4 linked regions of the Arabidopsis thaliana genome follow. The protein of the gene in region 2 interacts with the protein of the main gene of each other region in a pairwise test. Each region holds a gene or a part of one and is shown on either strand. Other genes may lie near its edges.

The links.
Region 1: the proteins of AT5G49130 (region 2) and GONST5 interact in a protein complementation assay, tested with the Arabidopsis thaliana proteins (one large-scale study listed by BioGRID).
Region 3: the proteins of AT5G49130 (region 2) and AT5G35460 interact in a protein complementation assay, tested with the Arabidopsis thaliana proteins (one large-scale study listed by BioGRID).
Region 4: the proteins of AT5G49130 (region 2) and GPT interact in a protein complementation assay, tested with the Arabidopsis thaliana proteins (one large-scale study listed by BioGRID).

Annotation. Positions count from the first base shown.
Region 1 is NC_003070.9:7,674,771-7,681,733, reverse strand, and holds GONST5 (golgi nucleotide sugar transporter 5), read right to left. Parts: upstream 3,527-6,963; coding exon 3,413-3,526; intron 3,317-3,412; coding exon 3,067-3,316; intron 2,972-3,066; coding exon 2,764-2,971; intron 2,582-2,763; coding exon 2,350-2,581; intron 2,259-2,349; coding exon 2,037-2,258; 3' UTR 1,891-2,036; downstream 1-1,890. Other genes in the region: LYM1 (lysm domain GPI-anchored protein 1 precursor), read right to left, coding at 1-67, 379-1,045; AT1G21866 (Plant thionin family protein), read right to left, coding at 3,954-4,235; AT1G21864 (Plant thionin family protein), read right to left, coding at 5,888-6,169. UniProt on the Arabidopsis thaliana protein: GDP-mannose transporter that may be involved in the import of GDP-mannose from the cytoplasm into the Golgi lumen.
Region 2 is NC_003076.8:19,912,178-19,919,823, reverse strand, and holds AT5G49130 (MATE efflux family protein), read right to left. Parts: upstream 3,953-7,646; 5' UTR 3,921-3,952; coding exon 3,855-3,920; exon of another isoform or gene 3,742-3,854; coding exon 2,299-3,741; 3' UTR 1,857-2,298; downstream 1-1,856. Other genes in the region: AT5G49140 (Disease resistance protein (TIR-NBS-LRR class) family), read left to right, coding at 1-739.
Region 3 is NC_003076.8:13,669,136-13,677,620, reverse strand, and holds AT5G35460 (uncharacterized protein), read right to left. Parts: upstream 5,133-8,485; 5' UTR 5,024-5,132; coding exon 4,943-5,023; intron 4,843-4,942; coding exon 4,723-4,842; intron 4,637-4,722; coding exon 4,579-4,636; intron 4,487-4,578; coding exon 4,386-4,486; intron 4,307-4,385; coding exon 4,211-4,306; intron 4,123-4,210; coding exon 4,029-4,122; intron 3,796-4,028; coding exon 3,558-3,795; intron 3,433-3,557; coding exon 3,075-3,432; 3' UTR 2,118-3,074; downstream 1-2,117. Other genes in the region: AT5G35450 (Disease resistance protein (CC-NBS-LRR class) family), read right to left, coding at 6,936-8,485. UniProt on the Arabidopsis thaliana protein: Glycerophosphocholine acyltransferase (GPCAT) that utilizes acyl-CoA to acylate glycero-3-phosphocholine (GPC), forming lysophosphatidylcholine (LPC).
Region 4 is NC_003071.7:17,298,764-17,306,747, reverse strand, and holds GPT (UDP-glcnac-adolichol phosphate glcnac-1-p-transferase), read right to left. Parts: upstream 5,177-7,984; 5' UTR 4,987-5,176; coding exon 4,604-4,986; intron 4,526-4,603; coding exon 4,438-4,525; intron 4,350-4,437; coding exon 4,258-4,349; intron 4,169-4,257; coding exon 4,050-4,168; intron 3,942-4,049; coding exon 3,826-3,941; intron 3,737-3,825; coding exon 3,609-3,736; intron 3,515-3,608; coding exon 3,428-3,514; intron 3,264-3,427; coding exon 3,203-3,263; intron 3,109-3,202; coding exon 3,068-3,108; intron 2,986-3,067; coding exon 2,865-2,985; intron 2,778-2,864; coding exon 2,718-2,777; 3' UTR 2,537-2,717; downstream 1-2,536. Other genes in the region: LIS (WD-40 repeat family protein / small nuclear ribonucleoprotein Prp4p-like protein), read left to right, coding at 245-971, 1,378-1,834, 1,937-2,134, 2,238-2,429.

The sequences.
Region 1 (6,963 bases), on a different chromosome or scaffold from region 2:
GCATAGCTACCATTTGGAACAATCAATCCGAAATCCGAAGCGTATCTGGGGAACTTTGAAGCACAAGCTGAGAGAAGGTAAAGATACAGAACCAAACATTAATAATCTGTAATTGCTCCCTTACCAAAAGTAAACTCAGCCAAAAAAATACCACAAAGAGGGAAACTTTTGGTAGCTCAAACTCATTCAATGCCAAAAACAATACCTTAATGAGATTCAAAACCCAGAAAACAATCAACCAGCAATGAAAGAAACAATCAAAAGTCCACAAAGCTACACCAAAAATCCCAATTTGGCAACCAACAACTAACAATAGAAACTACTTCCCATTATACAAACATCTGAAGATACAACTTTTAAAGATTGTGTAGACCTGACCTGACAAAGGAACAGCGAGAATATCTCCAGAACTAACATCAGGAGCTCCCATAGCATTCACATTCATCAAATCAGTAATAGTAGTCGAATACCTCCTCGCGATTCCGACCAATGTATCAATCTCCTTCACAACATACGACAAATAAACAGCCGGCAAAGAATTGTCGGTGCCATTGAAACAAGCACAAGGCAAGGGGATAACAAGACTAGTCCCAACATCAAGCAGCGACGGGTCATTCACCGAGTTAGCTTCCTGGATCTGCTCAGCAGAGACCAAGCCTCCGTAAACAGAGTCAGCAATCGATCCTAGATTGTCAGAAGGTCGGGTTTTGTAATGGGTAGAGACAGATTTTCTGATTCCGTCGACGCAGGAGCAAGTGATTGGGATTTTGAGGAAGAGCTTCGAAGGAAGGATATGGTTTTCGACGTCTGGGTAAGAGATATCGATGGCGTTAGCTAAAAGGATAGAGATTGGGTCTACTTGGAAGAGAGATGCGACTTCTGAGACTTTGAGGTCGGTGTAGAGTGTGTAGCCGAGTAAAGCGTTGCAAGTGTCGTTGCTTGAGCAAGGCTCGATTGTTGATTTCGCTGTCGCTGTGAAGGTTAAGCTCGAAGCTAGGATCAAAGAGACGAAGATTAAGAAGATGGGTTTTTCTGGGATTTTCATTTTTGTGTTTAGGGTTTTACGAAATTCAAAATCTCCTAGGGTTTTCAATTTCTCTTACAGGACAATGACAGAGAGTACAGTGAACAGAGTTTAGTTTGGTCTATGGAAGATGAATCTGGAGATTTTTCCAGGGGTTTGGTAGAGAGAGAATCTCTCTGTATCTCTGGTTTTCTTCTTCTAGAAAGAGAAGAAAAGTTTCACCCTTTTTGAAATGGAGAGAGAGAAGAGAAGAGAGGAAGAAGGAGACAAGTGTGTTGTACAGAGTGAACAGAAAACGGTAGCTTTGCGATCTCCAAGACACAGACATCTTTTTATGCTGTTTGACTGTTTTGCCCTTTTCTCTTTAACTCCTTTGACCTGGTTTCAGACTACTGTAGCATGAAGATTTTTTGAAAATTGATTTTTTGTAAGGGAAGGATATGGCGGTAAATTCAGCAACATAAGTTGAGGCCCACTTGAAAAAGCCCATTTTTTACTTTTGAGAAGCTAAAGCAACGAATTTGATGAGCTGTTTTGAGAGCTAAAATATTCGTTTCCCTTAAACACCGTCTTAAGCTCTTTCATGTATCAAGGCGGGAAAATGAATAATCATTTCTTATATATTGTCAAATTAACTTTCTATTTTCATCTTCTTTCAAAGATTCCCAAACTTGCACCATTTTGTCATGTATTAAGTCTCTGATGTTAGAACATGGCACTATGGCACAAACAAAATTGGAAGGAAAAATTAAAAAGCTGAGGTAAGTGAAAGCACTACCATAATTGAATACAAAAATGGGCCTGCTTTAAGTATCTTTGTGGTCATCTCTGAGTTGGTTTGATGAGGATAGATAATTTAATACAATGGAAACAAATAAAATGGCACTTCTCTAACTTCTCTAGTTTGAGTAAAAATAAACATATAGTTAAACTATAACTCTCTTGTGGATGTTCAAGATCAAATCTAACTTCTTTGTGTGCGTTCAATAGTCTAGTGACTTACCGATGATATTCAAATTTTACTCTCGAGTTTATCATTAACAAGAGGGATCAGTTCCATCTTGTTCCTTGGGGTACGAGGAGTCCTAGGAGTTCCGGGTTGTTGCTGAGAAAGCATGTGTCTTACATATCCGTAAAAGGTGCAGCCCACAAGTGTGATTCCGCAGCCAACAGCATTCATCGGTGATATCGGGTTTCGAAATATCATCCATGAAACAAACACAGCTACTGCAACCTGCAAATCACATACCATCCATCAAACATCTGAGTTATTGAAACTAGAATATAAAGATTAATGTTATGTGGTTTGGGATTTGTTCATTTACCTTAAGGTTTCCAGCTACATTGAATGTGACTGCTGTTGTGGATTGAATGACATAGAAGATGGAGAAGTTAAGACAGAAAGCTAGAACACCTGAGTTGAAAAGAATTATGAGAGCCGACCATGGAGATGGATGTGCTTCAAACCAATCCAAAATTCCATTCCTTTCTAGTAAAAATGCAGGTAACCCGAGAATCATGGTCGCGAAAGGCGCCATATAGTATACCGTGTTTATGCTACATAGAGAGACATGAAAATGAGGAGGACACAAACACTCAGTTCCATGAAATATGAAAAAGCAAATCAAGTATTGGACTATGAGAGCATGGCATGTCATTGAAACCAAATGTAAGTTTCACACATTCAACACCTATCATGTGAAACTGAAGATCAAAACCTCAGGAAACAGAACATTGACCTGTCAAATTTGTATCCATGAAGAAGAGATTCTGCAAGAATGGTCTTTGTAGAGGTAGCTAAACATCCAAACAAAGCAGCACAGAATCCAAACACATTAAAGCTAAGTTCTGTAATAGAAGTAAGAAGAATCCCTCCAACAATAGGCACCAATGACGCCCAAATACGCCAATCAAAATATTTCCTCCATACCAACCACTGTAACACAACTGCACTCAAAAAACCATTACACAAAAACCAATCAGAACAATAAAAAAAAATCACTTTATTTTGAAAAATTCTCAATCTTAAAAAAACCCTAAACCTGTTGTTGCAGGAGTTAAAGATTTGATAGTCTGCATAAAAGAGACAGGAATGTATCTAAGACTAATATTCCCCAACACAATGTTGATACAGAACACAAATGACATTGGAAAAATCCTCCTCCACCTATCTTCTGGATCAACCACAATCAAAGGTTTAAGCTTTAAGACTTTAATCACAATGTATGCTCCAATCGACGAACATATGAAATGAACACATGAAACTGATAATGGAAACTTGAAATCCAGTTTCTGCAAACAAGGAAAGGTACCAAATTTCAAACGCAGATCAGATAAAACAAACGAAAGGCTAAGTCTTTAATGATAAAAGTAAGAGACTTTTTAAACCTGAAAGATCCATTTGTTCATGATGATAACAGTAACGTTAAAACCCCACCATTGAAGAATCGATAACAGAGATCTGAACATAGTCCATTGACGCCACAGACTTCCTTCCTCCATTGATGGGTTTTAAGAAGTGAGTCAGAGAAGGATCCAAAAGATGAAACCTTTAGGAATGTGGCAATGCAAAAGCTAAATAAGAAACCCTAATTAAAGCGCCAAGAGAAACAGAGTAACGGTTCTGTTTTATATGCGAGAATTCTCTTTTTCTCTTTAGTAAGTTTCCGTGTAGTTAAATGCAAATATGTTTATGCAGCATAAATTATGCTTATACAAGTTACCAATTTTCAGTTGTTACATATATAAATATAAATAATTAGATTTTTAACAAATTTTCCGTATACAAGTAAATATTGTTAAAGATAAAAAATTATGGAAGAAGGATACATAAATACTTGAAATATTGATCGATACATTGATACAAAAAATCATAAATATATAACTTATGCATAGAGAAAGGAGACAAATTTTTTGTAATGTGGATCAATTAAGCGGTACAAATCCAGCTAAATGCTCTGCAGAACCTTTTTATAGGACCACCATTACCTCGAGGGACGATGTATCGCTCGTTGTTGAGAGGATCACATATAATCTTGCAAGGGTTGGCACATATGGCTGGAGTCGCTTTCTTTGATGCTTTCATGCACTGGTTCACGACACAATTTTTGACACACACATCTATCGAGTTGGAATGAGCTGAAAACATCATTGCAAATAAAATTACAATCATCAATACACTGCAGATTTTCTTTGACACTTGAGTTGCCATGTCGTAAGTATTGTGAGTCTGAAAATCTTAAATTGTAATGTTTTTTTTCTTTCTTTTTTCTTTTTGTTGTGGTTTTGAAACAAGATGATTTGGTGAGAATGTTGTGTTGATTATATAGTAAAAATAGTTTTAGCTGATTTTAGAAGTAACTAACTATTAGGAGGTCAACTTGTTTTCGTTTCTTTTTCTTGGCAAATATATCGATTGATTTCTGGACAACTTATATGTATTATACTGTTTTGGTCATCTAAACAACTATTTGCATGCTATGCATAAATATAGTAACACTAATTGCTCATATTTAAAATATTAGCCTGTACAACACATATCTTAGTGGCATTTTCTTCTTAAAATTCGTGACCACGTTTTTGTTACGAAAATCGTAATATGCACATGACATGGTAAAGAATACATACCGTTAACAAGGAATGATTACCTTTCACTGTACATAATTTTTTAAGATCATTGAATTTATCATTGGACACTAAAAATCTTTCCTTTTTTAAAAATGAAAAATAACAATTCCACCAAAAGTATCCTAAAAACTCAATGCCTAACTAAATCACATTGTTATTTTTCATGTGATTTAAATATTTTGGCGATCATCGGGGTACATTCTTTCTTTCAAACCTATAGTTTTTCTTAAATATGGTGAAAGATTCATCAGGAACAAAAAGAATACGTAATCCTTTTGTTTTGTCTATAATTTTTGAGTTGAATACATATATATATATATATAAGTAGGAAATTATGTACATTTGTTTATAAGAAAACGTAAGGAAAATATGTACTTTTGTTTATGAATAAGTAAGAGGTTCTAGATACATACAATACACTAAGGCGGATTAGATCATTTAATATGACTCCTCCCAGGTAAATATGTACATTTGTAAACATAATTTTCTTTCATATTGTCTTTATCGTCATTTTCCTCCATGAAAACACAATAAACTTTTTTTTCATAAAATCTATAAATTCAAGACTAATATAATTTGATTGAAAGTATTTATTTTAAAAATAAAATCCATATTTGTTTAACATCTTCAGTTTTTTCCATAAAATTATTAAATTCAAATGCCTACATAATTCTTTTTTACAACTCTATATTCTCAGCTTTCTTTCTAAAACAGTTGCACTTGTTGTAAACATGATATATATATATATATATATATATATATATATTTTTGAATATAATTTAACATTATGTTCAAAAAAAATTAGCTATACAAATTATGGAAACTTAATGCCTAACTAAATCACATTAACATCATATATTTTAGTTATTTTATTTTTAAACTATATTGTTTCAACTTTATTGGCGTTTATAACTTAAAATTTGTTTCATAATAAGTTTTGGTTATGTTTTTCAATGTAGATGTTTGGTTAAAAATTTAGTTTTTTTTAATGTCTTCACGAATAAAAAATCATAGCATATTAATAAAAAGAAAAACAGAAATTAATTGTAATTATTTTAATTTGTCTGAAAAACTTTAAACAAATATAATTTGAAAATGAGGGAGTATTAGGTATAATAAAATTATGGAAGAAGGATACATAAGTACTTGAAATATGGATCAATACAATGATACAAAAAAACATAAATATATAATATATGCATAAAGAAAGGAGACAATTTTTGTAATGTCGATCAATTACGCGCTACAAATCCAGCTAAATGCTCTGCAGAACCTTTTTATAGGACCACCATTACCTCGAGGGACGATGTATCGCTCGTTGTTGAGAGGATCACATATAATCTTGCAAGGGTTGTCACATATAGCTGGAGTCGCTTTCTTTGATGCTTTCATGCACTGGTTCACGCCACAATTTTTGACACACACATCTATCGAGTTGGAATGAGCTGAAAACATCATTGCAAATAAAATTACAATCATCAATACACGACAAATTTTCTTTGACACTTGAACTGCCATGTCGTAAGTATTGTGAGTCTGCAAATCTTAAATTGTAATGTTTTTGGTGAAACGAGATGATTTGGTGAGAATGTTGGTTGATGTGGATGATTTATATAGTAAATATAGTTTTAGCTGATTTTAGAAGTAACTAACTATTAGGAGGTCAACTTTTTTTCGTCTCTTTTTCTTTGGCAAATATATCGATTGATTTCTGGACAACTTATAAATGTGTTATACTGTTTTGGTCATCTAAACAACTATTTGCTATGCATAAATATAGTAACATTAATAGCTCATATTAAAAATATTAGCCAGTACAACAAGTATCTTAGTGGCATTTTCTTCTTTAAATTCGTAACCACGTTTTTGTTACGAAAATGGTAATGTGCACATGGTAAAGAATGCATACCTTTCAATTGATGGCTCGATACAATACGGTGGTGGAACTTGAGGTAAAAGAAAAAAAAAAATGGAAAGAGTGAATTTCTACGTGGAGAGGGTCAAATCGTATCTAGCTATCATACAATAAACTGAAGAATTTAATGTCCAAAATGATAAATAGAATGATATTAGTCCAATCTGAAAGTCTTTATTTAAAAATTAAAATTCATATTTCTTTAACAACTCCAGTTTTCTTCCATAAAACTATTAAATTCAAATACCTAATCAAAATTACCTACACAAATTATTTAAAATATAATGCCTGACTAAACCACATTAACATTATATATTTAACGATTATTTTCTTAAACGATATTGTTACAGTTTTATTGGGGGTTTATAACTTTAAATTTGTTTCATAATAAGTTTTG
Region 2 (7,646 bases):
AGAAATACCTCCATCAATTAGTCAATGGTCTCGCCTTGAATCCCTTGATATTAGTGGCTGCCTAAACCTCAAGATATTTTCACATGTCCCCAAGAGTGTAGTGTATATATACCTAACGGATAGCGGTATTGAAAGGCTTCCAGATTGTATCAAAGATCTCACTTGGCTACACTACTTATACGTCGATAATTGTAGAAAACTTGTGTCACTGCCAGAGCTTCCAAGTTCGATCAAGATTCTATCAGCAATAAATTGTGAATCACTTGAGAGAATATCTTCATCTTTCGACTGTCCAAATGCGAAAGTCGAGTTCAGCAAATCCATGAATTTCGATGGAGAAGCACGACGAGTAATCACGCAGCAATGGGTTTACAAGAGAGCATGCTTACCTGGCAAAGAGGTTCCTCTGGAGTTCAGTCACCGTGCCAGAGGAGGTTCCTTGACCATCCATCTAGAAGATGAAAATGTTTGTTCTTCATCTTTAAGATTTAAGGCTTGCATCCTACTTTTCCCAAGCGAAAGGAACAATATTTGTACTGTATATTGTCGTCTCATAGGTGAAAGTGGTCGTCTCATCGCAGCACATAGATTTGGTGGAGTTGTCAAGGACTTTGTCACACCGCATCTGTTTATATTTAACTCAGTCTTACTTGAAGAAGTGGATGTGATACGGTTTGGATTCAGCAGCATACACCACGAGATTACGGAATGTGGTGTACAAATATTGACAGATGCATAAGCATTCGGGAGCTATCAGGAACTTCTACAAGATGTCGGAGCGTTCGAAAATGAAAAAAAGTACTTATGTTAAAAGTTTAACTTCATTTCAAACTATATCCACTAAAATACTCGCACGTTATGTTGTGTTATTAGTGCTTCATTATTGGTTTTATTTTGTTCAACAATAACAACTAATAATTGTGGTGTCAAGTTTACGCTTAAGCCTTTGATTTGTTCTTGCAAACCCCGTACGTGTGATGTTGACAGAGATCGGTAAGGTTTAAGACTAATTTTCAATTCAAGATTTATCAAAACTTCTTTTAATAGTGACTATTGTAGATAAAATTGCTCGAGCCAAAGTGTTAATATAAACAACAGAAAACAGTGAAAAGGTGAAGGAACACGTGTTAATTAAGCAGGGCACATCATGGTACGTACGAACGGAAGGTAATGAAGTTTTTTGAGGTAAAAAACGTCAAACCTCAAAGGTCTTAGTATTTGTTAACAACAAAGGAAACAAAACATAATGTGTCTCACTCCTTATCCCCTCCCCACCTATCTTCTTCGATCGGGCTTACTTTCACTACACCCAAATATATTCGTGGCTAATTCTAATTGTTGATTCTTTATTCTACTTTTACCCAAAAAAACTAAAAAAATTGTTGGCGAAAAAAAACAAAATTTTGTTATTAAGACTTACCATTTCTCATTGACTAATCTTACCGGAACATAGATAATTTTGCATTCAATTTTTTTATAATATATCTACGCAATATATTCAGGGCTAATAATAATATATCTTTAAGATAGTCATGCAAAATTCTCTTGCAATCGTACGTAGTTATTATCAAATACAATGGCTTCAAGCATGAAATTAGGCAACTTACTTTCATCACCGATCACCATTTTTTTTGTTTTTTGTTAATAATTAATTCTATGCCACATTTTTTCTGATCTGAATGATACAAATTTTATAATATTTTATCAGTAGTAATTTGAAACTGTGTATATGATGTTTCTTTCATTTTAAACCTCATTAAACATACTAACTGCTTATTCCACTGCCAACATGTAAACATTAGTTTGGATTCAATTGAATGAAAATGAGAATCATATATTTCCATTTAAAGGTTTCTGAAAGTATGAGCTTAAAGCTTTAGTTGTTGTGAAAGATAATTAAGGTGGGAGAAAAGAAGCGAGAAGCCACAAGGACACTAATATGATGCCTATTTTGTATGGGTACACATGCACATGCTTGCACATGTGTTCCGGCCAATTAGCTCTTGTTTTTCCATGTGGTTCGGTATCTCTATATACACTCATGCACCCAATATATATTACACGTCATGGTCATTAGCCATCGCATCCATATAAGTCTTCATCATCCAATCCACGATTCCACTCCCTTCAATAATGCAAAATCTTCAACAGTTTTGTGTTTCATAAAGTTTTACATTCTGTCCTTGTCCAATGAAGACACTTACATAAATGTATAAGTTTTAAAACAAAAGCAAATCATTGAGACATAAATGGAGATAGTATATATGAAGAACAAAAAGAAAAGAGAAGGAAAAACTGTTAGTGTAGGCCTTCTTCGCATTTGACAATAATTTGATCGACATTAGGTGAAATGACGTTCTTGCCCACCAAGTCATGAGCCTTCAAGGACTCTTTGTTCCAATCTGTGTTATAAACAACGGTCAAAATGGAGATTGCACAAGCTAGCTGTGCCCCAAGCAAGCCATAGCATAGGCCCATGAAGCCTAAACCCCACACAAACGCTAAAACAACCGCCACTGGTGCTCCAACTACATAGAAGGCGTAGAAATTAATCTTGGCCCCTATACCTGGCCTCGCACTGCCACGTAAGATTCCACAGCTAATGGTCTGAGGACAGTTGGCAAGCTCACAAGCTCCAATCACCGGAATAACCGCCGCCGTCAGCTCGAGGACAACTTTGTCGGCGGTGAAAACTTTTCCCCAAGCTTCTCTCCCCACGGTGGTCCCCACAAGTCCAAACACTGACACTGCCACGGCGGCTCCGACAGCCACAGTCGCCGCTGTTTTTGCTTTCTCTGGCCGTCCTGCTCCTAACTCGTTGCTTACCCTCGTGGATACCGCGGCCGAGAGGGCCGTTGGGATTGTATACATCAATGAGGTTGTTTGTATCACGATGGCGGCTGCTGCTAGCGCCACCTTCGGCTCGGGGAGATATCCAGCGAGGACCGTCATGAACTCGTACCACCACCACTCCAAGCAAACCGCTATACAGCTCGGAACAGCGAATTTAACCAGCGTTGACCACACATCATTTTCACCGGAGTCTCTCGAACCATACAGCATCAACGGCGTATCAAGACAAAGAGACTTGGAAGTGGTTTTGTCGTTGTTGTTGTTTTCCAAGTAGATGTAGCAAAGGAGAAGCGACAAAGAGATGAAGTTGGTAAGAAAAGAAGAGACGGCGACTCCGGGAACTCCGAGAGAGATGTAAAACGTGAAGAAAGCAGTAATGGGAAGATGAAGAAGGACGGAGACTAACGTGCACCACATCAAAGGCCAAGTGGTGCCTTTACAACGTAAGTAAATACGTAAAGGATGAAGGAAACTATTAGCGAGAAGATCAGGCAAAGAGAAGGAACAATAGAGAGATGCGACACGAGTGATATCATGTTGTTGGCGGAGCATCAGCATTAGAGGCGCGAGGTTTAGCCAAAGGAGTGATATGGGAAGAGAAGCTAAGAGAAGGAGGAAGATGGTTCGCTTGAGGGTTAAGGAAGCGAGTGAAGGGTTTTTAGAACCGATGGCTTGACCACATAATGGTTCCATACCGGTGGCTAAACCAGAGAGGACGGAGTAACCGGTGATGTTGGTGAAACCGATGGCTAAGGCTCCTCCTGCGAGCTCAAGGCTACCGAGTCGTCCCATACACACGACGGATGTCATGTTCTTTAGGTAGTTTAATATGCTCATGGCGGCCACCGGAAAACTTATGTCCCAAATTCTCTTCAGCTCCTCCACCACCTTTTTAAATATTTTAAATAAAAAAATAATAATTATAAGAGAGGAGATATTTGAAAGACTCTATCTGAGGAAGAAGTTTACTAAGAATAGAAGTTTTAGATTTAATTTAGTACCTCGGGCATTGTCGGGTTGTACTTGTGTTGGAGATTTATGAGACGTGAATCTTCTTCGACCACCATTGTTAGTGTTTGTTTATTGAGATGAGAGATTTAAAAAATATGAAGAGAAGATGCCATTTTATAAAGAAATTTTATTTGTTTTGTTTTGTAACATGGAGTTGGGTTTGGCATGGTGGGGGTTCCCAAAATATTGATGTCATTATTTGTTATCCATTTTTCTTTGTGTGGACTCTAATATATACAAGTATAAATACAAACTAAGTATAGTTTGAGAAAAATATAGGATATTAAGTTCAAGATTTAATCGTATATCTCTTATACTATCAAAGTTCGAGATTTTTTTATTTTTTTATTATAGTACGACTCTCAATATCCTACATTTTTATTAAACAACATATTTCTTTATTTTTGGTCAGAATTAAACAAAAGAATGTATTGACCTAAAAGAAGTACGAATCCAAACCTGATTTTGTCGTACAAAAGCGTCACATAAACAAACGAAAGTATAGGCATGTGGAAATTTAAAACAACAAAAAAAAAAGAACAAAACTCAAATCAAATTTCTTCTCAAGATTCTGTTAGTACAAAGTTCCATTTATGATTATCTCTTTATTTAATCTTTGTTAAGAAAGTGAGTGTATATTTTCTTTGGTTATAAAAAAATCATGCATATAGGCAATCTAAATTAAACTAAAATAGTGTTCGGAACATACAATTGTTATCTAATCCATAGTAAATATGAATGCATCTCCGGTGAAACAGTATATATTTGGCCTAATAAATTTGTTAAGAAAGTGAGTGTATAGTTTCTTTGAGTATCGGAAAATCATATAGAGAATCTAAACTAGTGTTCGAACATACAATTGTTATCTTAAAAAATGCATTTACCATGAAATAATCTTTGTGTTGAAAAAATATTAACCAATAGATTACTAACACTTGATTTTAGATATCGAATTTGTATTTCTCCTGAGGAACTACTCTCTTTTTTTGTCCATGATAAAATGTAAGAAATTGAATATGTTAGTTATAAAGGCGTAAATATTATTATGAATATTTTTGAAACTTCGTGTGGTTTAAAAAGATGCATAGAACTAACAACAACCTTTCTAAAATAAAATGTGATAAAAGATATTTATGAAGCTCAAACTAACGATATTAGTAGAAAGTGATATGATTGGTCCATCAGTCTAGAAATGAAACTAGTTAGAATTAGGTATAGCGCAATGTGTTGTCTCCCTCTCACTGTAATTATCAACCCAAAATCGACTTGAAAATTATGTATACCTTTCCTTTAATTTTTTCCCTTTTCCTACTTATTCCCACTCCACTCCCTATAAACTAGTGACATTTTACATCTTGTCTCTGCTTACGTGGATAAATGATCATCATGACAATCGAAAACAATATATATATATATGTGTGTGTGAATTAGCTAGATAGCCCATGTGTGGTTTTAATAAAAATATGAGAAGTTTGATTACATATATTTTAACATTATAAACTACTGAAATACAAGATTGATGCTTTTTTTACCAGGATCTTATTTTATAAGTTCTATAGTGATGAATTATATCATATGAGTAGTGAATTTTTTTAATTTTCATATATTTAAATTATTATTGAAGTTATTTGGTTTATTTGATATATATATATATATATATATGCTAAATACACATATATAGAAATTGAGGAAAATGATTTTTAATTGAAAATACTATTATATATGTAAATCAGATTTTCATATCGATCGTTTTCATAGAATTTGCAAGCCGTTCCAATTGGTCGATATTTGGCCACAAGATATGATTTTCGCAGATGTATAAAATTTATACACATCTTCATACCGTCAATTTTCACACACATGAATCATGATTCATGCATGCTTTCATACGATTTCATGTGTAGTTCTATATAAAGATGTATAAATAATCTTCAAAATCTGTAAATACGAGCAGAAGAAAGTTGTGTAAATCGTGGGGGAAACTAAGTACTGAAAGAAAAAACATAGACAAGTAGTGAACTAGAAGTACCAATAGAGACAGAGTTGTGATGTTCCCATCACAAAGGAAACATATCCTCTCTCCTTTCGTCGCTTATATCTTCTTCTTCTCTTCTTTTGCTTTTTCCACACGTGGCTATTTTTACTTGCTTCCATCTCCACCGTTGATCTCGATGCCCTTTCAATCTACACGTAACATATGCATGGACATATGCCTAACCTATATCTATACTATGCATCGTCTAGTTCGTGTGGTATGAACTTTGTCTCCAATAGCAAGCCGTCGCTCTTCTTTTGCTTCCCCACTCATAGTTTACTATTCATTTTTTAATGTTTTCTAATATGCTTGCTGATAAAGATCCTTCCACTGATATTTTTGTAGCTGGTTTATACGAGATGCATAATTACTAAATAACTAGATTTTAACCCGTGGTACACCGTGGAGACAATTTATATTTTAAAATTAGTATATATAAAATTTTGCTATAAAATATTTTTATTTTATACTTTATATTTGTTATTAAGTAACGTCCTGCTAAATCGCGTCCCGCCAAACCCATCCTGTAAAAAAATCATTATTTTATTAATGTTAATCTTATTTATGATATATTTATGAATCATTGTCTAAATATTTTAGTTCATGTGGGACGTATAACTCACACATTTTTTGCCAATTGATTAATATATGTTTATTTTTAAAATTTCGAGTCACAAAATATGACGGAAAGAATTAAGATTTTTTAAAACTCTATATATTATATAATAATATTAAAAAATTATGATATATTAAACTTTTTATAAGTTTAAATATTAATAATGTTTTATAAAGTCTAGATATATAAATAATAATATTTAATTTTTTTATATTTTGAGCCTTTTAAGTAATGACATAATAATTCTAAAAGCAAGGATTTAGAAGATTTAATATTTTCATTCCTAAATAATTAATGTCAGTGTCATTACATTGTAAATAAGTTCAAATACATGATTTATTTATTTAAACAAAAAACGTTTAGTAAGAATAATATTTGTTTTAACAAAAAAATTTGTTTTAAAATATTGTTAACAAATATGTTTATGCTAATTTTAAGAGATTGATTTGAAGTTTGTTTGGATTAAATTTGATTGATAATGTGATTAACAATTTAAAGTAAAATTAATTATTTTGGAGAAAGATTTAATGCTAATGGCATTGAGTTGTAAATAAGTCCAAATCCACGATTTATTTGTTAAAATGGTTGCAAAAATGTATATATAGATACATCCCAATAAGTTATGTTTTCTTATTTCTGATATAGATAAACACTGTCGGATTTCTTTGGATATGCCAAATTGTAACAATCACGATATTTGTCAAGCCAAATATTTTTTATTTAAACTATTAATTCTAAAGAGGATAAAAACTTACAAATTAATATCTTTGCACATTAATATTCACATTCCGATTAAAAGAGTAGATTTAATATAATCATGTTTGCAAGAATGTCCACGTGAAATTTTAATTATGTTTATGTGTGATTGACTGATTGTTTAGAGTCATGAACTCATGATGCTTAGTAGTCTAATCATCAACAATAAGAGCGATGCTTTCATAATTAATCAACCATTGCTTGTATCTAAAACAAACAAAAAAAAACCACATCTTCCTAAAGATATATGATATGAGAGGACATCATTATTTGAAAGAGAACATTCGTATGTTAAGTTGTTAACGGACATTAACTAAAATTAGAAATGTAGACGGAAACAATGGTTAGAAACTAAACAAAATAAAAATATCCTTT
Region 3 (8,485 bases), 6.2 Mb from region 2:
ACAATAAACTCATTTTAATTCTACACATTTCATCTTAAGTGATAACAATTTCATATCAAAATAATATTTATATCAGATCAAATATAAATATTACTTAGTATTCAAAATAATTAACAATTAACATTAATAAAAAAATATAGAAATCCACAAAATAATTTGGAAAACAAACATTGTTTAAATTATTATTTTTGTATATCATAATCTCGTAAGTTTATTTTACCTCATACAAAATAATTTGAAATGAGTAAAAAATAAACTAACTCTCATTAAGTAATTGAAAACTCAAATATTATAAGCTATTTATTTCAAAAATGTTATGTTTTCACTTACGACTACATGCGTTAAATTTTTTAGAATAAAATATAAGTATAAGCTTGCTGTACCACATGAAAGGATGCAAGTTTCTCCATCACATGATGTGTTAAAATTCTTAGAATAAAACATAAGTATTCATAACATTATTATTATAACCTCATTAAGTTTTTCATTTTTGTTTTTATGGTTTGATTTAACGAATAAAAACACTATAGTACAAAGATAAATACAATATTATCCAATTAAATTAATGTTAAATAAATTATATTGTTATTTTAAACTTCTGGGCTTTTTGATTAGTATAATTATCTATACTAAATAATTTTTAAAAATAAATTACATGCTAATTTAATTGACCAAAACAAATGTAAAAAGAATTTTGTTAATTTTCCTTTTTGTTAATAATTTTTGTTCTTTTAGATATAGACATATAAGTTAGTATATGTAGACTTGTTTCGCTTTTTTGTTTTTTTATAGCCAATTAAATTAAGGGGCTCTTAAATTAATGTTAAATAAATTATATTGTTATTTTAAACTTTAAGGGCCTTTTTAATTAGTATTATTATCCATCGTAAATGATTTTTTTTTTTAAAATTACATGCTAAATTGAAATGACCAATAACACATTGATAACTAAATTTGTTAATTTTTCTTTTTCATTTAGGAAAAAAAATTATTATTTTATTTTATATATGGACATATAAATTAGTATATTTAGATTTGTTTCATTTTTTGTTTTTCTATTTTTCTAAGAAAAACAAAAGTTAAATCTCTTCTGACACATGTCAATATCTGATCAATAAATTTGACACGTGGCACAATCCTATGAGTTATTAATTTTGAAAACCATATTTTATATAATAAGATTCAGAAATATTTTCCAAAATCCATATATTTTCTTATTTCATATGTTACTTTTTTCCTTTATACAAAAATCTTAATATAAAAAATAACTAGAATCTATAATAATGTTAATTAGCGAGATAGCTTTGGTCGTTTAAAATCTCATGTGTACAGTCTCAAAAGCTTATAACAAAATATTAGAATCTAAAAATGTTAATTAGCATTTTGGGAGATTTATTGCGGATCAAGCAAGTCGCTAGAATCGGCTCAGAGACGGAAACCGAATAGTCAACTCGAACCCATTGATAGTGTCACAAAAAAAAGGTCTTGTATTCGCCGTGCTAGTGGATCAGTTTTGCTGGTTCCGGCCACCACCCATGTCCAACCTCAACCTCCTTAACAGCGTTGGCAATTTTTTCTCAGTTTAGTAAATATAGATTGTCGTACTGTCAAGGTCTTAAGCGCATTTCGAGAAATTTTATTCATAAAATTAAGTTTTTTCATTGAATGAACAAAAAATGAGACTAGCGTAAGTGAGAAATATGCCAAGTGTTGTTACTATACTCTCAAAGGTTGATCGATTACCATCATGAATATTGATATCATGGACAACTCGGACCTGACAAAACACATGATCAAGATAATTTTTCAAAAAACATTGTAGTCAAGGACACACCAACAATATTTACATTGATTTTCTGTTTTCTTTCTCTGTTCAGTGCGGTATTTGGCATGTATCTTAATGCGACCTACTTTGTAGATTATATAATCAAAATCTTATTCCATTCATTTCATGTGATACACGACTACACGTCCTGGATTCCACCAAGACAAGGCTCACGGGTCCAATGCTTAGAAGCGAGCGATGGAAGCTTTTAGATGAGAAGTATTTGATTCTACAAACAACCTAGAACTCGCAAGAACAGATTTGATTCAAGATACAAAGTATTGAAGCAAGAAACAAACTGAATTTCAATTGATCAAAGCGTGAATACAAAGTAGAGAATCAAAGAGCTTAAATTGAAAAGTACAACAATGGTCTAAAACTTAGAAAAGGAAACCGAATAATGCGAAATAAAGAGAGGAGCGTGATGATTCTAGCCGTTAGGCTATAATGGAGGATCTTCGGTGATGGCGTCGAGAGCTAAGTTAAAGTCGCAGCTTCTAAACGTCGTGTAGTCTTTTCATGAGGGTGAATATAATCAGCAGAAAGTCTTCAAGTACATCAGGGGGCTCTTCGGTTTGGTTTGACTCAATTTGACCGTACGGTGCAAATTGGTGGTTCTTGAGTCTTCTTCCAAATCAGCTCGTTACAGGGGCGATTTGCATCGATCAAAATCCTCTTCATGGTCGATTTTTGAGTGAATTCTTTGGCGGAACTCAAGTTATTAAGCTTCATCTCCACTGAACAATAGTCGTATCGGACATGATGGATTTCATAATGCTATCGGCATACTTATTAAGCTTATTCCGCGGCTGGTAACGACATGTTCGAGAACTATGCACTATCAAACACATGAATGTTATGATCTTTAGTGATGGTTGTTTTGTACAGCAGAAACAGAAAACAAAATCCGCGTCTCAAGGAGAACTTATCCCAATCTACTTCGCTGAAATCCGAAGATTTTCCTTTCTCGAAAACGCGTTAAAAATATAGTTAAATCTCTCATAATGCAATTTTAAGGCCAGAATGTCCTAGCGAAACAGGATCAAAACTTTGGCTAAAGAGTAAATAACAAGTTTCTTTAGAAAAAATAAACTACAAGATCATTCACATACATTAAGCTTTTAGAATGATGTATAGCAACAAGAGAAACAAACAGTTATAGAACAAAACATGAGGAACAAAAAAAACACCAATCATGATTCACCTTTGAAAACTTTATTTTACATGTACCTTTTTGTTAGAACCATGATCATGTTTCAGTAGATTTTGGCTCATTCTCAGTCGGATGTGACACAGCTTCATGATGTAGTATCTGCTCCTCTATCGGCTGCATCTCAGCTTTCTTCTTCTTCTCTTTCTGGATCACTTGCCGTGGCATTACCTCTAGTAAAAAGCTCCCTCCGTTCCACACAGCCGCAGAAATCTTTAGGATCTGAAAGATCACATGAAGTCTATAAGATAGGAAGATCGGTACGGTCAATGCCATGGTTGCCACCGTGAAGATGGCCTGGAATAGGATGTACATCCATATACGATTCTGATCCCCTAGCAGACCGCTCAGCTGCCACAACTTATTGTTTGCCTTTTCAGCTTTCTTCGACAGCTCTCTGCACATACCAAAGGATTCCATCAATACAAGTGTTCACTCTATGGTAAGAACACATTACATTATGCTGTGACCTTAGCGATCAATATGAGGAGAACATTAACATACGGCGTAGACAAGAGATACCTGTAAGAAGTCATAACTTCAGGATCTCTAAGGAGTCTCTGCCTACGCAGGACATTGACGATTAGAAAATAGAGCACTTGCCAAAGAGTATAAACGACTAAGGGGACGAGAAACAGCCATGTGAATAGGTAAGCTTTGTCTTCAACATAAGGCCATGAAACCCTACGATCAGTGCCTACAGGGTGCATAGCTGCAAAAGTCGCTGGATTCCACCACCTAATCGTGAAAAACACGAGCCCTGAAACCAAAATTCATTACAATAATAAAGAAACAATGGAGAGAGAGAGCATAAAGCTTAACTATATCTATCATATGCATTACAACAAGGAACCATGTGTTTGAATTAAAAACGGTTGAGAGGGGAACAACAAGCTAAGAATTCATACAACTACTTTAATCAAAGCCGTCAACTTTAGCAATATGAATCAATAACATATCTTCTTCTGTCAACAAGAAGATTATAGAACTCACCAGGTAAGAGATGTATAAGAACACTAACAATCTTATCCGGCGAACTAAAAACCAGACTGCAACGCCAGACAATAATCGCCCACGCCAATGGTCCCTGCAGCACAAGACACAACCAATAAAATAAATCAGCACACACAATGACACAAAAGACTCATATACATACATGTAGTTAAAAAGCATACCTCAGCAAAGGAAAAGCAAACCATGAAAAGCTTTTCATTCTTAGGATACAGAAGAAGATCAACCAAGAAGATTGTATTGGCATAGTAGCAAAAGTCCTATCACATACACAAAAATTGTTTCAATAACAATCAAAACGACTGTTTCTTAATTCCAAATCCTCAAAAGAGACATTACCAGAAGATAATAATGCCATTTCTTAAACCGGTAATATATCCATCGAAGAGGAACAAAGATCACATAGAAGAAACAGTAAACTAAAGGAATGTCTTGAGGTCCTGAAAACGAAAACATCATCAACATCAACAACATTGAATTAAGAACAAAACACAAAAAAAACAAAAAAAAAACACAATTTCTTTGAACTCACTTGCACCAAGTAGGAAACAAAAACCTCCAAATCCAAGCACACCAACGAGATGTGTCACCTTTAAAACATTACAGAACCAAACATTTTCAAACCAAAGTAACTTAAAATCAAAACATGATTGAAGAATCAAGAGAGAAACCTAACCTTATTGATGAATCTCTCATGTTCTTCGGCTTGTTTAGCGATCTTAACGGCTTGTTTCGATAAGATCTCACGCGTTTGTACCGCTTGTTTAGACAACAACTCTCTCGTCTGAACAACTTTCTGTCAAAATCAAAAACAATTGGTCCACAAAGTCAAAATCAACAAAATTGGAACAAAAGAGAAACATCAAAAATGGTGAAAATCGAATCTGATGTTGTACCTTTGATCGATCTTTGAAACGTTGTTTAACAGCATCAAACGAGTCTAGTCCATTGGAGTTTGAATCTTCGTTATTCGCCATTATTGCGGTCAGATTTCTCTGTAGATGCTTTTGTCGTTTTTAAAGGAGAATCCGAAAACACTGAATTTTTCTGTTTTCAGGATATTTTACTTTATGCGGAATTAAAAATTTGGTGAAGGAAAATGACCCAAAAATCATTATTAAACTCTTTATATTCGTTACTATTTTTGTTCAGTTTTATAAAGTGGTGATTAATTACATGTAATCCAATAATTACATTCATAATTAAGTAATAAGGACTTTATGTTTTATCTTGGGAAATCAGATGGAATATTAGTCCTCAAAGTAAATTAATTCCATTAATTGCCTTTGGTGATTATATAATTTAAAGACTTTAATAAGAGAGACTGAGAAGGAGCCACGTGTCGAAAGTTGAAACTTCTAGGACCCTCTTTTGCGCGGGTCGAGAAATTTCCTAGCGTACACGTATTTTTCTACATTATTATAGTTAGAGGAACATTTTGTTTAATTGCATCTTGTATTAAAGAAAAAAAGTAAAAAAAGAATGCTGTGGTATAACTTCTTTACTAGGTGCCGACAAAAAAAAAAAACTTCTTAACTAGGTTTTATGAGTTCAAAACTAGAGTTTCTTGACAAGGTTTCACATGTTCCAGAAGCTTTAGTTTTGTTTTTGGATGAAGTTTGAAAGATTCAAAAGCAGTGTTGTAAAAAGCGGTCTAGACGGTCGTTTATATGCCGCTAAGCGTTCAGTTGACGCCTAAATAATCATCTCGACTGCCTAAAATAACATAAATTTCGTTTTAGTATATTTTTTTTATTTTTAACTAATATTGCTTAAATTTTATAAGTTTTACTTCTACACATGGTTATAAACATTCATATATTGTTGATATAAATTAAAGAAACATTTTTATCTAATTTTTGATTAGGATCCGATTAATATTTTCTAATATATAGTTTTATATGATTTTTATCTATAATATCATATTTAAAATGTTTTATGTCATAAACGGATAAACCACCTAAAATCACTTAAACCCCGACTAAGCGTTCTAAACGCTAGGCGTTGGGTCATCGCCCGTTTATCGCCTAACACTTTTTTGAACATTGTTCAAAAGTAAACAAATATACTAAAGCCATAGAATAAGGGGGTCTGTCTGAAGTTGAAACAAGATTTAAAAACAAAAGTACAAAAACTGGTGTTTTGTTCTGACAATCTTATGTTGTTCCTGAACAAGAAATCGACTAATCCCTCAACGACCCAAGTCTAAGTCACGAGTGCAAATATCACACAGTACTGATAAAAGAAATTAAAATGAAACAAAAAACTTGTACAAAATGAGATTGTTTTGTTTATTGTACATCAGTTTTGCTCGTCTTGGTTCAACCATGACTTCACTATGCGTACACAGTAAAAGAGGTGCAAAACTAACAAAACTTAAGCCTAAATGTGATAAAAAACAAATCTAACCAGATTTGATGTAAATAAAGCTTACAAAAGCTAGCTAACTGTGTTAAATCACAAACGAGAAAACAAAACAAATTCGTATAAACATAAATATCCAATTTTTACAATGAACTACAAAAAAAACAAGGTTCGTTTCTCAATTTTATGAAAGAGTTCTCAAGCACGTTCCATGCATCCACACCGAAAACAAACATCAATAAAAAGCATATAGTTCTGAGCCACAACATAACGATGCACTGAAAGCGAGAGCTCCAACGTAATCAGTAGTACTTCAGAATCTGTATTCCAGAGATTTATCAGTAGATGACTCTTGTGAAGCAGCCTCTATCTCTCCCAATATAAGAGAATTTGACTAGCTTCTTGTTCTTTCCTGCATCTATTTAAAAGATGATCGATTTTAGAACAATGTATAAAAGTTGAGACTGTCCACATGACTTTGAAAAGTGAACATTATTATACCGTTTATTTTTTACCTGCTACTGGTTATTCTCTTTGTTCGTCGTCACAGTTGAAAAATTGAACATCGGGAATGTGTTGGACTTTGTAGTAATCTTCTCCAACCAATTTCTCCTTCCACTCCCTCTTCATTCCTTCAATCTTCAGTTCCTTTAAGGATGTTACATACTTGAGTCCGTCAGGAAGTTCCTCCAACTTTTCGCAACTATGTATAATTAAATCACGAAGACATGGCATCGACCCTTCTTCTACTATCCACTCTTCCAACTCCGATTGTTCAGATATTTGTAGAGCACGTAATTGAGGAAACCCGCCTTTTGAGCACACCATTCTCCTCCCTATGAAAGCCTTGCGTCTTAATTCAACCGACTTCAGATGAAGCAACTTTTCTAGAATTGGCATTGGATCCTCCTCCATGTGGCAAAACAATAAATATATGTGTGCAATGTGGGGAGGTAATTGATGTTGATCAGGAATCTTTGACAAATGTACTCCCAAACTTAACTTCTTTAGATGAATAAAATCCAGAACGAATTCTCCCACATAATCAACCATATAGGTTTTGCGCGAATAAATGAAACTAAGTGTCTCCAGCTTTCGAAATTGACGGAGAGATGAAGATAGATTTTCAAAAGTACACCTTTCACTAAAAGATACACCGAAAAACCTGAGCTTGGTCATACGGAGGAGGTCTGTCACACTACTGTGTTGCGTTGAGAAACACCACAAGTACTCCAGGTTCACTAGATCACCCAATTCCAACTTGGTTTTATCATGCATATCCAGAGGTAGGGAAAGGTACCTCAACTCTAGCATCTCTTTCAAAACATTTGGCACGTGAACCGGCACCCCGATAGCAACATGTAAGTTCAAATAGAGCATAAGCTTTAAATTCCGAATAGTAGAAGGTAGATGAGATACCACAGCTTGGTGTAAGCTCAAGAATCTCAAATGGATGAGCCCTCCAATGCTAGAAGGTAACTTCCCTCCTTCAAATTTTACCGAAGACAGATCCAACACCCTGAGCAATGGTAAGCTTTGGAAGCGTGAAGCTGATTGTATCCAAAGATCTTCCTTGAGTCCCAAAACTAAAAGAGATCTGACCTTTTTTTTGTGTCCTAGTATATGAAAGGCTTTACCACTATGTACGGTGAGTCTTCGAGATCTACTAGGAGATTGAGCAATGATGGTAGAGGTGGAAGTAGGGACTTTGATAATTTGGAGGAAGTTCTCTACTTTGGCTTTAGATATACATACTTCCCTCATCATGTCATGCATTTGACAAAGTTTAAGTCTCCAACTCAAATTGCTCTTTTCAGCAATAACCAAATTTCTCCTCACTAGTTCTTCTAGGTAGTCTTCTCCACTATCAAGGATGGTTAATCCATCGTAAATTCCCTCTGCGGCCCAGTAACTGTACAATGTCCGTGTCTTTATCTTGTAATCTTCAGGGAAATGGGCTAGGTAAAGGAAACAATGCTTTAAATCCGTTGGCAAATCTTCATAACTCAAAGACAATATTCGGTAAACCGAATTGAGACTGTTGTCATCTAAGCACGATTTTCCTACGATTTGAG
Region 4 (7,984 bases), on a different chromosome or scaffold from region 2:
AAGTAAATTGTTACATCAAAGATTATAGTGCAGTTGAATTCCTTAAATCTGTTTCACTTTTTCCTGGTTGAGTTTGTTTTTGTATTTTTCTCGCAATGCATCTAGATTAGAGCTTAAGGATTTGGTCTGTAGAGTCCAGATACTGTTTCGTTCTTCCAATTATTAAAGAAGTGCATTGGGTTTTCTTTGGTTTCGTGATCCTTTAACTCTAGTAATTTATGTTTCACTTTTACTGTAACTTCAGGTTTCTCTGCCATTCCACCTGTGGTTCCTCCTTCTTTTCCCCCACCAATGGCTCCAATACCTATGATGCCACATCCTCCAGTTGCCCGCCCACCTACTTTTAGGCCACCTGTTTCACAAAATGGTGGAGTGAAAACCAGTGACTCGGATTCGGAATCAGATGATGAACATATTGAGATATCTGAAGAGAGTAAGCAGGTCAGAGAAAGACAGGAAAAGGCATTGCAAGATTTGTTGGTAAAGCGTCGTGCTGCTGCTATGGCAGTTCCAACAAATGACAAAGCTGTTAGGGACCGACTTAGACGACTTGGGGAGCCCATTACTCTATTTGGAGAACAGGAAATGGAGAGACGAGCTAGGCTGACTCAGCTGTTGACTAGGTATGATATCAATGGGCAATTGGATAAACTGGTTAAAGATCACGAAGAAGATGTGACTCCAAAAGAGGAAGTAGATGATGAAGTTCTTGAATACCCCTTTTTTACCGAGGGTCCAAAGGAACTTAGAGAGGCTAGAATAGAAATTGCCAAGTTTTCTGTCAAGAGAGCTGCTGTCAGGATTCAGCGTGCAAAGCGGCGGAGGGATGATCCAGATGAAGATATGGATGCAGAGACTAAGTGGGCTTTAAAGCATGCTAAACACATGGCCCTTGATTGCAGTAATTTTGGAGATGATCGTCCTCTTACCGGCTGCTCCTTCTCACGCGATGGAAAGATACTTGCCACATGGTATGTCTCTCTTCTATCTCCTTCTCACTCTCAACACAAATTCACATATTCTCCACATATTGTTTCTTAGGCTTGAAACTATTTTTCCTCGTCTCTATTTGATTAGAGTTACCTGGACTAGATTGCATTCTACCTGCATATTCATTTTCATTGATATATCAGTAGAGAAGTATCTTAATAATCCTGTTCTTAAACACTGAACTTGCTGATTTTCCTCACTTTTAAACACTGCACCTTTATAAAACCATGAAGTTAGTTAGGCCTATAGTTTATCTTATAGATAGCATACTCCATGTCTATTGCATTTGCCCTTTCTAACTGCATTACGCATTCTCTAGGTTCATGACTTGTGTGATTCACATAGTTCCCTTCTGTTTAGTAATTCATCGATTTTTTTTTTGTCTAGTTCTCTGAGTGGAGTTACTAAATTGTGGGAGATGCCTCAAGTTACAAACACGATTGCTGTCTTGAAGGATCACAAAGAACGTGCAACTGATGTAGTGTTCTCCCCAGTGGATGATTGTCTAGCGACTGCTTCTGCTGATCGAACTGCAAAGCTGTGGAAAACTGATGGAACACTCCTACAAACGTTTGAAGGTCATTTGGATCGTCTGGCACGTGTTGCTTTCCACCCATCAGGGAAATACCTGGGAACTACAAGCTATGACAAGACGTGGAGATTGTGGGATATAAACACAGGAGCAGAACTGCTTTTGCAAGAAGGCCATAGCCGCAGTGTCTACGGAATTGCATTTCAACAAGATGGAGCATTAGCAGCTTCTTGTGGGCTTGATTCACTCGCACGAGTTTGGGATCTCCGCACTGGTAGGAGTATTCTTGTCTTCCAAGGACACATCAAACCGGTAAGATTCTAATTTTGTTCCATTGGTCCTCCTCGTATCCAAGCAAAAGTGATTATTTACTAACCCTTGTTTTAATATCCTCTGTTTTATATGTTTCTTCAGGTTTTCTCCGTGAATTTCTCTCCTAATGGTTATCACTTGGCATCTGGTGGGGAGGATAATCAATGCCGTATTTGGGATCTAAGAATGAGAAAGTCATTGTACATTATACCAGCTCATGCTAACCTTGTGTCTCAAGTGAAGTATGAGCCACAAGAAGGCTACTTTCTGGCCACTGCCTCATACGACATGAAAGTCAATGTAACTACTTCTATAATCCCTTGCCTTAGTATTTTTTTTTTTTTCAGTCTTCTGTTTCATTGGCTTATAGTTTGATTCCAATTTCTTATATTTTGTCTACCAGATATGGTCAGGAAGAGATTTCTCGCTCGTTAAAAGCTTAGCAGGGCATGAGTCAAAAGTCGCCTCTCTAGATATCACAGCAGATAGCTCGTGTATCGCTACTGTATCACATGATCGCACCATCAAGCTATGGACAAGCAGTGGAAATGATGATGAAGACGAAGAGAAAGAAACAATGGACATAGATCTCTAGTTTCATTTTTCATGTTTGTGCAAGAAAAAAAACTTGGGATCTAGGGATTTCGAGATTAGCTTGTTAGAGAAACTCATTAAATTGTATTTGATCTCTTGTCGGGAATTATAGAAACTCAGGATGCTGATACATTGTCTTGAAAATTTTGCCATTTCGTTCAACAAAAAGCAAATGAATGAACTTTGTTTACTTGAGAATACTTCAACACGTTAACAAAAATTGTTGATATATACGATTGTACAAGGTACTAAAGTAATGTTCTGTATTTGTGACTTCTCTGATTGCAGACTATTTATACCAACCAGCAAGAAAGTGTCGAAGTATGAAGCAGAAGGCGCAGGCTAGAGCCTGTAGCAAAAACAAGCAGAGTATGACAACACTAAAGCGACTACTTCATTATATACGAATGGCGATATACATATATCTGAGACCTACCTGGAAAACGAGAAGATGGATGCAAAGAGACTTTTCTGATTTAGGACCAAACAACCTCAAGTAAACATTGACGAGTGTCCCATCTTTTGTGCCGGTCAGTAATCCGGTAGCAGGATCATACCTGGATATTTTCAAAAGACAAGATGAGTGATGCGTCTGTTCTTTAATCAGTCTACAAAGGGTAAGAAAACAAAGGGGGTTACCTTGGGAGACGATGGCGCGGACATTTCACAATCCCAGCAAGCTGAAGAGTTATCATATATAGTATGTTAAATTTTTGAAACATGAGTTGACAAGATTATACGTATGCCATAGAAGAGTGAAAAGGTGATATGAACCTGAGGAAGCGATAATAGAAAGTTCAGAACTTGAGGAAGAAAGAAGATGAGGAGGGTTTCACTGCAGAAGCAAAATTTCAATACAGAAAGATGGCATGGGAATCAGTTGCATGGTCATACAGTAGCTGGATATATGATGCAAATGATCAATCTAAGAGTTGGTAGTTTCCATGTATTAGTGAAGTGCCTGTGCCTCAGAGAAGATAAGTGGGTTTGGAAGTATACCTGAAGTGACCCAGAATACCAACAACTGCCATAGTCATTCCGGCGAAGACTGTGTAAGTGTCTCCAACAAAAACTGAAGAAGGATACCTAACAGCAGAAGATTGCGAGAACTGGTCAGAAATATCATTACTTCCACTCAAAAAAAAAAAGTTTTAAAGAGAAAGCCTGCTAGGGATTTTACCAATTGTAAGCAAGCATTGCCAAGGATGTGGCCATCAGCGGTTGAGTAAGAAATATCGAGAAGGCATGAGCTTGGTGATACTCGGGATCAACAGATGCTCCGATTTGCATAACGTTGTGTATCAGGATCTACAGGTAACTGGGATGCATCATATCTCAACCCAAAAGAAACAAAATGAGAAAAATTCAGAGACATTATGTATGACCATAAGACTTACAGCAGCGGCAATAACAACTGTTTGACCGATTTCAAGGCCATTCAGACCAGCGTGGATGTTAATAGAGTTTGTACAAAAGACAGCAAGTAGCCCCATATATAACTTATATATCCTTCCTGCCACGTTAAAACATCTATTGAGCTAATCATAATCATTTACCTCCTCAAAAGAAAAATACAAGTCAATGTGTACAAATAGGTGGTATCATGTACAAGAACCATTACCTAGATTAAGCACTTCCAAGCCAATATAAGCAACAAGAGGTTTTGGTATAACAATAGTTGTATGACCAGCATAAGCCATCAAAAGTGGAAGGGTAGCAAAAGATGGCAGGACAAGCTTTCTGTTGTTTAAATTGACAACAGTAAACATGTGAATCAAAAACGATAAGCGTGAATTTCATCAAAAAAATATGTAGGAATTAGGACTTACACTCTCCAAGGCACATCAAGGACATCATCTACAAATCCAAGCAAAATCATGAAGCAAATAGATGCTAGTGCTGCATTATACTCCACAAGCCACTGCACAGAATCATCAGCCAGACTCACAAACATTGATAATGAGAATAACCACAGAGATTAATAAAACAAGACGTTAATGCACACTTACATTAGAATCTTCAGTGAAGTTAAAATACTGAAATATTATCGCCACGATCAAAAAGACAATACCAACAACAATACCCAATGACTCTGGCCTGAAAACAAAGAGGATGAAGAAATTTTAATCAAACTAATCTTAATCTTTGGAAAATCAGAGATTGATAAAAACTCACACTTTAATATCTCCTTGAGGCGTGCCTCTTTTGTTGATATCAAAACCAAACATGTTACGTCTCAGAACGTATCTGGCAGTAACAGGAATCATTTTGAGAGTGACGAAAAACCCAACCAAGCTAAGCCCCGCGTTAATTAGAATCGATCGCTTGAGCTCATTATCAACCTTGTAGTGAAAACAGAGAAGGTATAGATAGAGCGAACAGAGAAGAGTAGAGATCACGAAGATCACTCCTAATTTCGGCGGCGCGAGACGAAATTCCTCACCGGAAGCAGAAACCGTCTTTCGGGTCATCTTCTGCTCCGATGGCGCTGAGTTGGGTTCCGACGGGTCCGGTTTGTTGGGAATTGAGATCGATGAAGCTCTCTTACGAGCTGCCATGGCGGATTTGTTGGCTCGTTTCGTTTCCCCGCGCTCTGGATTTTGACTCCAAACTCCGTTCGCCTGAGAAAGGATTCTTCAGAGCAATTCCCGTTCTGCGTCATATAGACCAATAAGGATTTGCCACGTCGCTTCAAATACGACACCGTGTCATCGAAATAGAACTTTATGGATTAATCATAACTTTAATTATTCGTATTAAGTACAAGAATATATCTTGGATTATACTTATAGAACTCTCTTTTTTTAAGAAAAAAATGCATAAATTTTGCTAAGAATTTTGTTGTAGCAACACATCAGCATGACATAAAGCAACTATTAAAAATTAAAACTAAAACTTATATTTAAAAGATTATGTAATAATATAGTTATTAATTAATAGTCATAATTTTTAACAAAGTTTCTTTTAATATAAAAATTGACATAGAAAATTATTTATTTTGAAGATTTTTTTATTGATAAGATGAAGAAGATGATCCATGCGACATTTGCTCACTAGTTACGCTTCCATCATTGGGAGCTTTGAGATGATCATTTTGAAGAAGAACATTCAGATGAAATCTCTGAAGAAGACGTAGTGCTCACAGAAGAAACTTGCACACTACTTTCTTTATCCGTAGAAGTTTGAGAGCTACTAGAATTATCACTATTTTCATCTTTTGTTACACAACTACACCAGTTTCCCATTAATGTCCCTACAAACATAATAAAAAATGTTAAAGTTGCTAAATTATATCTTAGTTTTTTTTGTAAGTGTTTTCAAATTAACTGAATAGTACTTATTGGTCTGTAGGATCAGTTTCGAAAATGCAACAACCCATTGTAATTTAAAATAAGTTTTTGTAAATGTACCTTAGCTTGAATCTCCTCAGAGTTTGTTATGATCTCTAGCTACACAATTCATCTTTTTATAGTGAGAGAAAAATATCTCAAAATTCAATACAAAATCTTTTACTATTAATTACTTTTTTTTTTTACAAGATCGAATCGACCTATTATTAGAACTTGGATGCATATGGATCATGATTTATGTCACAAAAGTTTTGTGATATTTAATCATAATCTAAACATTTTCTATGTCTTCTACTATATTTTGACACTTGTGTGTAAGACATAAATGGTAAGAGGAAATATTATTGATAGTGTTTTTTTTTTTTTGGATTTGGGTCAAAAATATTGTGGGGGGAAGCCACGTGTACAAATAAAAGTAAAATTTAGTTAAGACAATAAATATGAGAGTTAATGTATGTATCTTAGAAACAAAAAAAAAATATTAAGTATGAAATATAAGGAAAGATATAGCAAAAAAAGTAAGAATAAATCAACATCTTATTATATAAAATATGGTTTTCAAAGTTATTAACTCATAAGATTATGCCACGTGTCAAGTCTATCGATCAGATGTTGCCATGTGTAAGAAAATAATTAACCATTTTCTTCTTAAAGAAATAGAAATACTAAAAAATAAATTAATTAACTTTTTTCTTCTTAAAGAAATAGAAAACTAAAAAATAAATCATTATTAACATATACTAATTCATATTTCTATATCTAAAAAATATTACATTTTATTTTTCTTAACCAAAAGAAAAATTAACAAAAAAAAATCTTATTATATAAAGTATGGTTTTCAAAGTTACTAACTCATAAGATTATGCCACGTGTCAAGTCTATCGATCAGATGTTGCCATGTGTAAGAAAATAATTAACTTTTTTTTTCTTAAAGAAATAGAAAACTAAAAAAAGAAATCATTATTAACATATACTAATTCATATTTCTATATCTAAAAAATATTACATTTTATTTTTCTTAACCAAAAGGAAAATTAACAAAAAAAATATATATATATGTTATTGGTCAAATTTTTAATATATATGGTATTAACAAATGTTTTATTATTATGAATTATGTTTTGTTAATTGTTAATAATTTTTAATATTAACTAAGATATAGATTTGATCTTATATATATATATTATTTTGACATGAAATCATTATCAAGTAAGATGAAGTGTGTAAAATTAAAATCGAGTTTTTTATGAAATAGATAGTTAAATTGTATTACAAAATTGAATGTATAAGATAAAATTTTATTTTTTCTTCTAAATACTAAATTACAATAAAGAAAAAGTGTGTAGGTTACTATTTAGACTTCAAATATCATCAATAAGATTGAATGGGTATAACAAAATAAAATGCATAAGACTACTATTTTACTATTCAAAATTATATATCAAGAACAATGTATCGATTATTATTTTACTATTCAAAATTTAAATATTATCGATAAAAATTACATTTACATCTTATACCCGCTTATTTAGGCGGGCTTTATCTAGTAAGAAATAAAATATAGATAACCAAGATATATTGTAACAACGTTACATGTCACGCATCCATACAGACAGAGACACTATACGTTACGAATTTCAAATGTAACAACGAGTATTTCATTTTTCTTCTATATTCGATCTCAATTATTAGATTCTTTTTTGTAGTAAATATAAAAACAATGATTTCGATTGAGACAAAACTACAAGTGAGGCTGATGTGAACGGGGAAAAATAGTGACGGCTTATATCTGAATTACGTTGTGAACACGTTTGTTTATTTCATGGATTGCTAAACTTTGAGGATATAGCAAAGAAGCTTTAAGTAAAGCAAACGAATCATTAATATTTTGGGAGGATGTATATATATATTTGAAGTTGTTGTTGTTGTTGTTTAAAACTGTTTTTTTTTTCTTGTAATTAAGGTTGAAACAGATTTTGAAAGGACGTTAGCACGAAACTCGTAAATAACGCATGTTTATTTTCCAAATAAATTTATAATAAAACTATTATACATCAAAACCCATTAATTCATCATAGTGGCAACCAAGTGTATATAGCAATATAAATCAATTTTTTAAAAACAACTTCTGTAAACAAAAGGAAAGTGAAGGCACTATGTGTCCCCACACGGTTCCATTGAGACAAAGGCATATGTATGTGTGTGA